Oryzias latipes: one gene and its partner. The protein of the gene in region 2 interacts with the protein of the main gene of each other region in a pairwise test. Links are inferred from orthologs where the notes say so. Each region holds a gene or a part of one and is shown on either strand. Other genes may lie near its edges.

Region 1 (3,909 bases), on a different chromosome or scaffold from region 2:
GCTGCTGGATGGTGCTCACTTGTATAAAGAAATTGACTGTTTCGTCCTGTTTCATCCAGACAGCAGACCTGCCCCTGCTGCAGAAATCCGGTCAATCCGAGTTTGATCTTTGTCATGTTCAAGCTGAGCAAATCCATTGGTCGCATGAAGATCAAGGTAGGACGTGAAAGAAAACTGAAGAGCGGCGCTGGGTATCACTGCCTAAGTGCTTAATCTATTCTATTTCAATCTACATGTTCACCATTCAGTTTTTTAAAACAAATATATGATTGTGTGTATGTTCATATGTATTGGTGCATATATTATTTTAAAACTTTAAGTCAGAGTTTACGTAGTGATAAAAATGGTTTAAACTAATGGTTTAAACTAATCCAGCATGAAAATTTTACTAGTAATTTTATGAATTGTTATTTTAGAAATGCAAAAAAAGCTTTTTCTGCCTTAAAAACGGCCTAAAATTGCTTTAAAGGAACTTTTATTAATTGATTTTAGAAATTGATAAACTATAAATCACATACATCTGATATGAGGATTGCGATTTGAACCTAGTTTACCCCCCAAATCCATCACTCAATCAGTTGAAATAAAAAAATAAAATAACAATTTGACAAATAATGTAAATTTTAGCGAAAATAGGATGCCTCATTCACCGTGATTAAGACTCCCTTACTGTGCTTGATGTGTTTTATATCTCTCTTTTCATATTTCTTTTATATTTTTATGTTATTGCAGTGCACAAATGAGATTCGGGGCTGTGCAGAGACTTTCTCCCTCTCAGAACAATACTGCCACAGCTTGAGTTGCCTGTATGAGCTCATCCCCTGCCCATACCAGGGATGCAGGGCACAGCTTCTCCGCAGAGACCTGGAGACTCATGCACGCCACTGCGAGCACTGGAGTCAGCCCTGCAACATGGGCTGTGGTGCAATACTCTCCCACCGCACCCAATCTCAGCACAACTGTTATAAGCAGCTGAGACAAGAGTACGAAGTCAAGCAGAGGAACCACAGGGCAATCGCTGCAGCACTACAGAGGAAGATGAAGAGGATGCAAAGCACAATGGCCCACATGAAAAGACAGCTGGGGCTCATCTGTGAGAGCCTGGAGGGGATGGATGATCTGTATGAGGTGGAGGAGGATGAACAAGGTGAGAGCAGTGGCAGTTCTAATGGGACCCCAAGTGGCAACAGGAATTACTGAGGGTGTCAGCCTGTTATTGCTTTTCTCCATCAATCTCTAAGTGTGATTTAATTTAAAAAAAAGGTGATTGCGTTAAAATGAGTGAATTTACTGATATATATCTAATATTTTAGTTTATTTTTATTATGTAAATAAAGTTTTCAAAATCACAACTTTCCTTTCCTTGTCTTATTCCAGTCTTATTCATAACGTAAGGTGCAGATCATGTTCTTGCAAAGCCGACCAAAAGGTGGCAGTAAAGAGCAACTTTTGCATTAACGCAAATATCGCGAGAACGTCGTTTGACAAAACCCGGCTGAGCCTTGAACAGGCCTTCTTCCTGTCCAAATCATCACGTAAGTCAATCGTGCTTCCATTGATGCTGGCTAGAAATCCACGTTTATCAAACGCATCTTTGTCTTACGGATATTTATTTTTCACACAGAGTAATATTTACATATTATACTCTTGAAATGTCTGCATATTTAACGTTAGATGTTCGTAGAATCACTAATATCGGACATATATGATGTACACAATGAACATGGCGGTAGTCGTGGCTAGTGAAACGTTTAGTAAAACTCTTTAAGTTAGCAACAAAATTGTTTATTATAAATGTTGTCTGTGACTAGCAAATGGCGGACGACGCCGGTGGTAGAGGAGGTTTTCGCGGAGGTTTCGGCGCTGGCGGCCGTGGTCGGGGCCGCGGACGCGGCAGAGGCCGTGGCAGGGGCCGCGGTGCTCGGGGTGGCAAATCCGAGGACAAGGAGGTCGGTATTTTCCCGTTTTGTGTAACCAGTTGGTTAAGCGTAACATTTTCTGTCACTGAGGCTTTCAACGCGTTCTGTGCTCCGGCAGTGGGTGCCAGTCACGAAGCTGGGTCGCCTGGTTAAGGACATGAAGATCAAATCCCTGGAGGAAATCTATCTGTACTCTCTGCCCATCAAGGTAAGGGTTATTTCTGCATTCATGGTAGTCTTGCATGTATTTTGCAAGTTTCCTCTGCTTAAATATTACTGTGTACACAGTTGTCAGATTGCATCCTTTGTGTCATTGAAATATTAAACCAGGGAAAGATAACAAAAGTTGCAGTTTTGGGCTGCAGGACTGCAATTTTGTTCTGAATTTTTATTGGATGTGACTTTTTTTTTCCCTCTGCAGGAGTCTGAGATCATTGACTTCTTCCTGGGTTCTGGTTTGAAGGATGAGGTGTTGAAAATTATGCCTGTCCAGAAGCAGACCAGGGCTGGTCAGCGCACAAGGTTCAAGGTGTGTGTCGGTTAAACAGGTTTTGTTATGTTCACGTTTGATGTCTAAACCTACCTGCCCCCCCTGAACTACAGGCCTTTGTTGCCATTGGCGACTACAACGGTCATGTGGGTCTTGGGGTGAAATGCTCCAAAGAGGTTGCCACAGCCATCCGTGGAGCCATCATCCTGGCCAAGCTGTCAATCGTCCCCGTCAGGAGAGGTTATTGGGGTAACAAAATCGGCAAGCCCCACACCGTGCCCTGCAAGGTCACCGGTCGCTGCGGATCTGTTTTGGTGCGTCTCATCCCGGCTCCCCGTGGTACTGGCATCGTGTCCGCCCCTGTGCCCAAAAAGCTGCTCATGATGGCTGGTATTGATGACTGCTACACCTCGGCCAGGGGCTGCACTGCTACACTTGGAAACTTTGGTAAGCATCTTCTGGATTCTTGGAAAATGTGAACGTTTGATTTCTGGTGTTCTCCTCGCTCTGCTCAGCTTCACCTCTGAAGTGGTGGAGTTGTCGTTATCAGGAGACAAAGAAATGAGTTCTTGCACGACAGAAAGATGCTTTGCTGGTCTTCTCTGTTCCCCTTTTTTGCACTCAACAGTTTTTCCAAAAAAGATATTTGAATCTTTGCAATAGATTAAGTCTCTAATCACGGTTTTCCTCTTCAGCTAAGGCCACCTTCGATGCAATCTCCAAGACTTACAGCTATCTAACCCCTGATCTCTGGAAGGAGACTGTGTTCACAAAGTCTCCGTACCAGGTTGGTACACAACTACAATATCTTATCAATGCTTCACAGAAAGTAAAGTAGTGACTAACATTTCTTGTTTTTTCCTTTTTATAGGAGTTTACTGACCATCTGGCCAAGACTCACACCAGGGTGTCTGTGCAGAGAGGCCAGCCAGTGCAAGCCGCCACCTCCTGAACATTTTCTACAGAGAACAGTTGAATAAACGTTCGGAAAAATGATTGTTTTGTTGTCTTTTATTTGGAGATCATAAGTAAATAGCTGTGGTGATTGTCTTTTTAAATCAAAGTTTGTCAGCCACTTTAACTGAGTGGCTGTTGTATACTAGCATATGGAGGAACCTGCTGGTATTGTATGACCATTACCCTTCAGGTTAAAAGCCTGAATTTCCAAACTGAACAACTTTGACAGCTGAAGATGACTAGTTCAGGCTTTTTTCTGTATTTTAACTTCCAAAAGAATTACTTTGCACCTGTTGTGATAGGTTCATTTACCATTTCCCTCATTGGTAAATCTTTTGAACCTGAGAAATATTAGTAAAACATTTGCATCCAAATTCACATTAAAGTGCACAACTCAGATTATTCACAAACTTTATTTTACAGTTATTACATTTGACATCAGAACTGTTAAGCACTTTGAGCCTGAGCTGCCATCATTCGTTCTTTTTGCTTCATTAAGCATTTCCTCCCACTGGCGTATGCGCCCAGGTCTCCATCTGAGAA
Region 2 (3,652 bases):
AGACTGTGAGGTCTGTGATCTGCAAGTGGTGGAGAATGAATTTCAGTTTTTGTTTTATTGTCCTTTGTATGAAAAACACTGACTTTGTTTGTATGAGGTAATAGAAAAGAAATGTTTTTCTGCATTTTTTCTGTATTTTGTCTTCTAGTGTCATATAAGCCCATGCGGGCTGGGCACATTAGTGTATGACACATAAATAAAATCAAACTCAATCAAACTCAAACTCCAAAAGACTCATTATCTCTGCCAGTTTTCTGTGGGGCTACAAGCACACTATATTACCAAAAGTATTGGCTCACCCCTTCAAAAAATCAGAATCAGGTGTCCTAATCACTTGGTCTGGCCACAGGTGTATAAAATCAAGCCCTTAGGCATGCAGACCGTTTCCTGGCTCCTAAATATTCCATAGTCAACTGTCCGCTCAATCACAACAAAATGGAAGAGTTTGGGAACAACAACATCTCAGCCACCAAGTGTTAGACCACTTTAACTGAAGGAGAGGGGTCAGCAGATGCTGAAGCGCATAGTGCAAAGAGGTCACTGACTTTCTGCACAGTCAATTCCTACAGAACCCCAAACTTCATGTGACCTTCAGATTAGCACAAGCACAGCACGCAGAGAGCTTTGTGGAATGGGTTTCCAGCTGCATGCAAGACACACATCACCAAGTGCAATGCAAAGCGTGGGACACAGTGGTGTAAAGCACTGGACTCTGGAGCAGTGGAGACGCCTTCTCTGGAGTAATGAATCCCGCTTTTCCATCTGGCAACCCGATGAACAAGTCCGCATTTGAAGCTTGCCAGGAAAACGGTAGATTGAGCATTGAGCCGAGTGTGACATTTGGTGGTGGAGGAATTATGGTGTGGGGTTGTTTTCAGGACTCGAGCTTGGCCCCTTAGTTCCAGTGAAAGGAACTCTGAATGCTTCAGGATACCAAAACATTTTGGACAATTCCAAGCTCCCAATCTTCTTGGAACAGTTGAGAGTGGGCCCCTTCCTCTTCCAATAGAACTGTGCACCAGTGACCAAAGCAAGGTCCATAAAGACATGGATGACAGAGTCTGGAGTGGATGAACATGACAGGCCTGCACAGAGTCCTGACCTGAACCTGATAGAACAACTTTAGGATGAATTAGAGCGCAGACAGAGAGCCAGCCCTTCTCCACCAACATCAGTGTGTGTGTGTGTGTGTGTGTGTGTGTGTGTGTGTGAGACCTCACCAATGTGCTTTTGGAAGAATCTTCAAAAATTCCTATAAACACACTCCTCAACCTTGTGGACAGCTTTCCTAGAATATTTGAAGCTGTAATAGATGCAAAAAGTGGACCAATATCAAACTGAGCTCTATGGGTTAGGAATGAAATGGCCCTTCAGTTCATATGTGAGTCAAGGCAGGTGAGCCAATACTTTTGGTAATGTAGTGTATTCTGTAGTGACAGATTCTGAGAATTATCTGCAGTTATCTGTACCAATTTTCTGCACTACAGGGCAGTTGCCAACAGTAGAAAATACAGTATATTACAAAGGGTGAAGTTTTGTTATTGACAAAATACTTCTTTTCAGCACCATTATGCAAATAAATTCTAAAAAGAAGACAAAATAAATCCTACAGTGTGATTTCCTGTTTTTTTTTTTTTTTTTACAGTCTGTCTGTCAAAGTTGAAATGCACCCATGATGAACATTATAGGGACAACTTCCAGAATCAGTGATTGAAAAACACTTTTTTGCCTTACTATATATCCAGTAACCCTTGTGCTATCCTAGGCACTTTAACATTGGGAGTTGGGTTATCTAGACCCGCGGCTAGACAGTGCTCTGGACCATTTTTCTTCAATGATTTGTGATCTTCACTGGTGTCCATGGATTACATGAAATCTTTCCACCTTTATCCACCTTTGTCATTGTAGGGAGAACACGTCAATGTAAGGGTGGGGTCATCTAAGATAGCACAAGGATTAAAGGAATGTAACGTAAATGATTATATTCCTGCAAATTGCACAAAAAGGATAATTATTTAAACCAAATAATTACGTATTTATTTAACACTTGCAATCTTAACATCCTTAATAACCTCTTTTTGAAATGTAGTTATAACTTTCACAAAAAACAGAAAAATAAAAGAAGGTCCTCTTTTATTTGGCTTTAATCCCTGCTTTATTAATTAAACAGGTTAATTTCTGTTAAAATCTCAATTTTCCAGAACTACAGCCAGCCTTACTGGAATGTTATTGGATCGTATCAATGGGAGGCAATAGACGAGAATCCTTGTAATTCAGGCAGAGTTGTCCTATTTGTCTCTGAAGGAAAGAAACTATTGATTAGAGGATTCAAATCCCATTAAATCAAGTTCCACCCTCATTCATCACATACTCAGACATGTGGAGGGCATACTACTTAACAAAGAGGTTAACTGAAACAATCAAACGTGTACGAACTTTCTGCGAAATCCAAGTTTGTGAGGAACATGAAGAAAAAAACGTTTCTCTGTAAACCATTCTACCTGCAGACAGTTAAAATAAGAGTTTCCTTCAAATAACCGTACATGTTACACACATCACCCAGCATGTCTTCCCTAACAACCTCTGAGCCTCTTTCCAAGTGTAAAAAGGCTTAATATCCTGCCCCCAGGTGATTTGATGCATCGTTTTTAGCATTTCCGAGTAAAGCTTCACCTGTATGACTGTTGGCTCAGAGATGACAGTGTCCATCTTCACCACTTCCACCAAAGCCTCTGGTAATGCTGCCTTCTTCATGCACGACATGTTGAAGCCGTAGACGTCATCCCAGAATGCAACACGGTCGTGGTGTTTGTGTTTGTCTCCCACTGCAGCCAGGCTGATGTTACAAAGGTCTGGATAGACTGTGTAGAGAGAAACATAAACAGGAGATTTCTGGGTGCTTTTTTGGTTTATCTGACGTGTTTTGTTTCCATTTTATTACAAATATAATGAATAACAACAGTGATATAAAACAGCAAGTCTGTGTGAACACAGGATTGTCACGCAGATAGAGGAGTTACAAAATAAAATCGACACTTTTGGGAACAATTTTCTTTTCTTGTACTTAAAAAAAAAAAAAAGAATTTCATGACCATCACTCATTTGAGTAATGCATGTGAGAGCGGACTGTTTTAATCCCCCCTTAATTTAAAATAACAGAAACTTTTCCACTGCAAACACTTTTTCACTAATATTCCATTGAAAAATAAACAACTGCCAATCATTTAAACCTGAGCTGAAGGCCATGTCACACAGCTACTATGAACATTTTGCACATTGTTCATGTATGAAACTTTGCTCTTTTGTGAAACATGATATAAGTTATTCATAAGTGTTTCTTGCGTTCGGCATTCGTCGATGTGCGCAGATGTCCATCGAAGGGGCTCAGCCGATGGGTCTGTGCGTGAATTTGGTTATGAGCTGTTCAAATCTTTTGGTCCGCTGAGAATTACACAGTTTATACGTATTTTATGTATATTATTATTGTCAATCTTACGCAACTGTGAGATGCGTACGTAAATTTGTGGCTTTCCCAGACCTTTCCACGTATGTCTAATGGACTTTTACTACAGATGTGTGACTTTTATATTGTGTATACTGCCGCATATGTCGTTCAAACAATGTATTTGACACAGGAATCACTGACAAATTG

What was found. The genes of interacting proteins can lie anywhere in the genome.
Region 1: the proteins of prmt3 (region 2) and rps2 interact in binary tests that used the Homo sapiens proteins (3 or more experiments, as listed by UniProt). The link is inferred for Oryzias latipes from reciprocal best matches to the Homo sapiens genes PRMT3 and RPS2.

Annotation. Positions count from the first base shown.
Region 1 is NC_019866.2:12,348,196-12,352,104, reverse strand, and holds rps2 (40S ribosomal protein S2), read left to right. Parts: upstream 1-1,514; 5' UTR 1,515-1,535; intron 1,536-1,811; 5' UTR 1,812-1,814; coding exon 1,815-1,949; intron 1,950-2,037; coding exon 2,038-2,127; intron 2,128-2,340; coding exon 2,341-2,448; intron 2,449-2,522; coding exon 2,523-2,856; intron 2,857-3,104; coding exon 3,105-3,196; intron 3,197-3,280; coding exon 3,281-3,361; 3' UTR 3,362-3,405; downstream 3,406-3,909. Other genes in the region: rnf151 (RING finger protein 151), read left to right, coding at 60-156, 733-1,200; ndufb10 (NADH dehydrogenase [ubiquinone] 1 beta subcomplex subunit 10), read right to left, coding at 3,814-3,902.
Region 2 is NC_019861.2:6,533,556-6,537,207, reverse strand, and holds part of prmt3 (protein arginine N-methyltransferase 3), read right to left. Parts: intron 2,862-3,652; coding exon 2,674-2,861; intron 1-2,673. UniProt on the Homo sapiens protein: Protein-arginine N-methyltransferase that catalyzes both the monomethylation and asymmetric dimethylation of the guanidino nitrogens of arginine residues in target proteins, and therefore falls into the group of type I methyltransferases.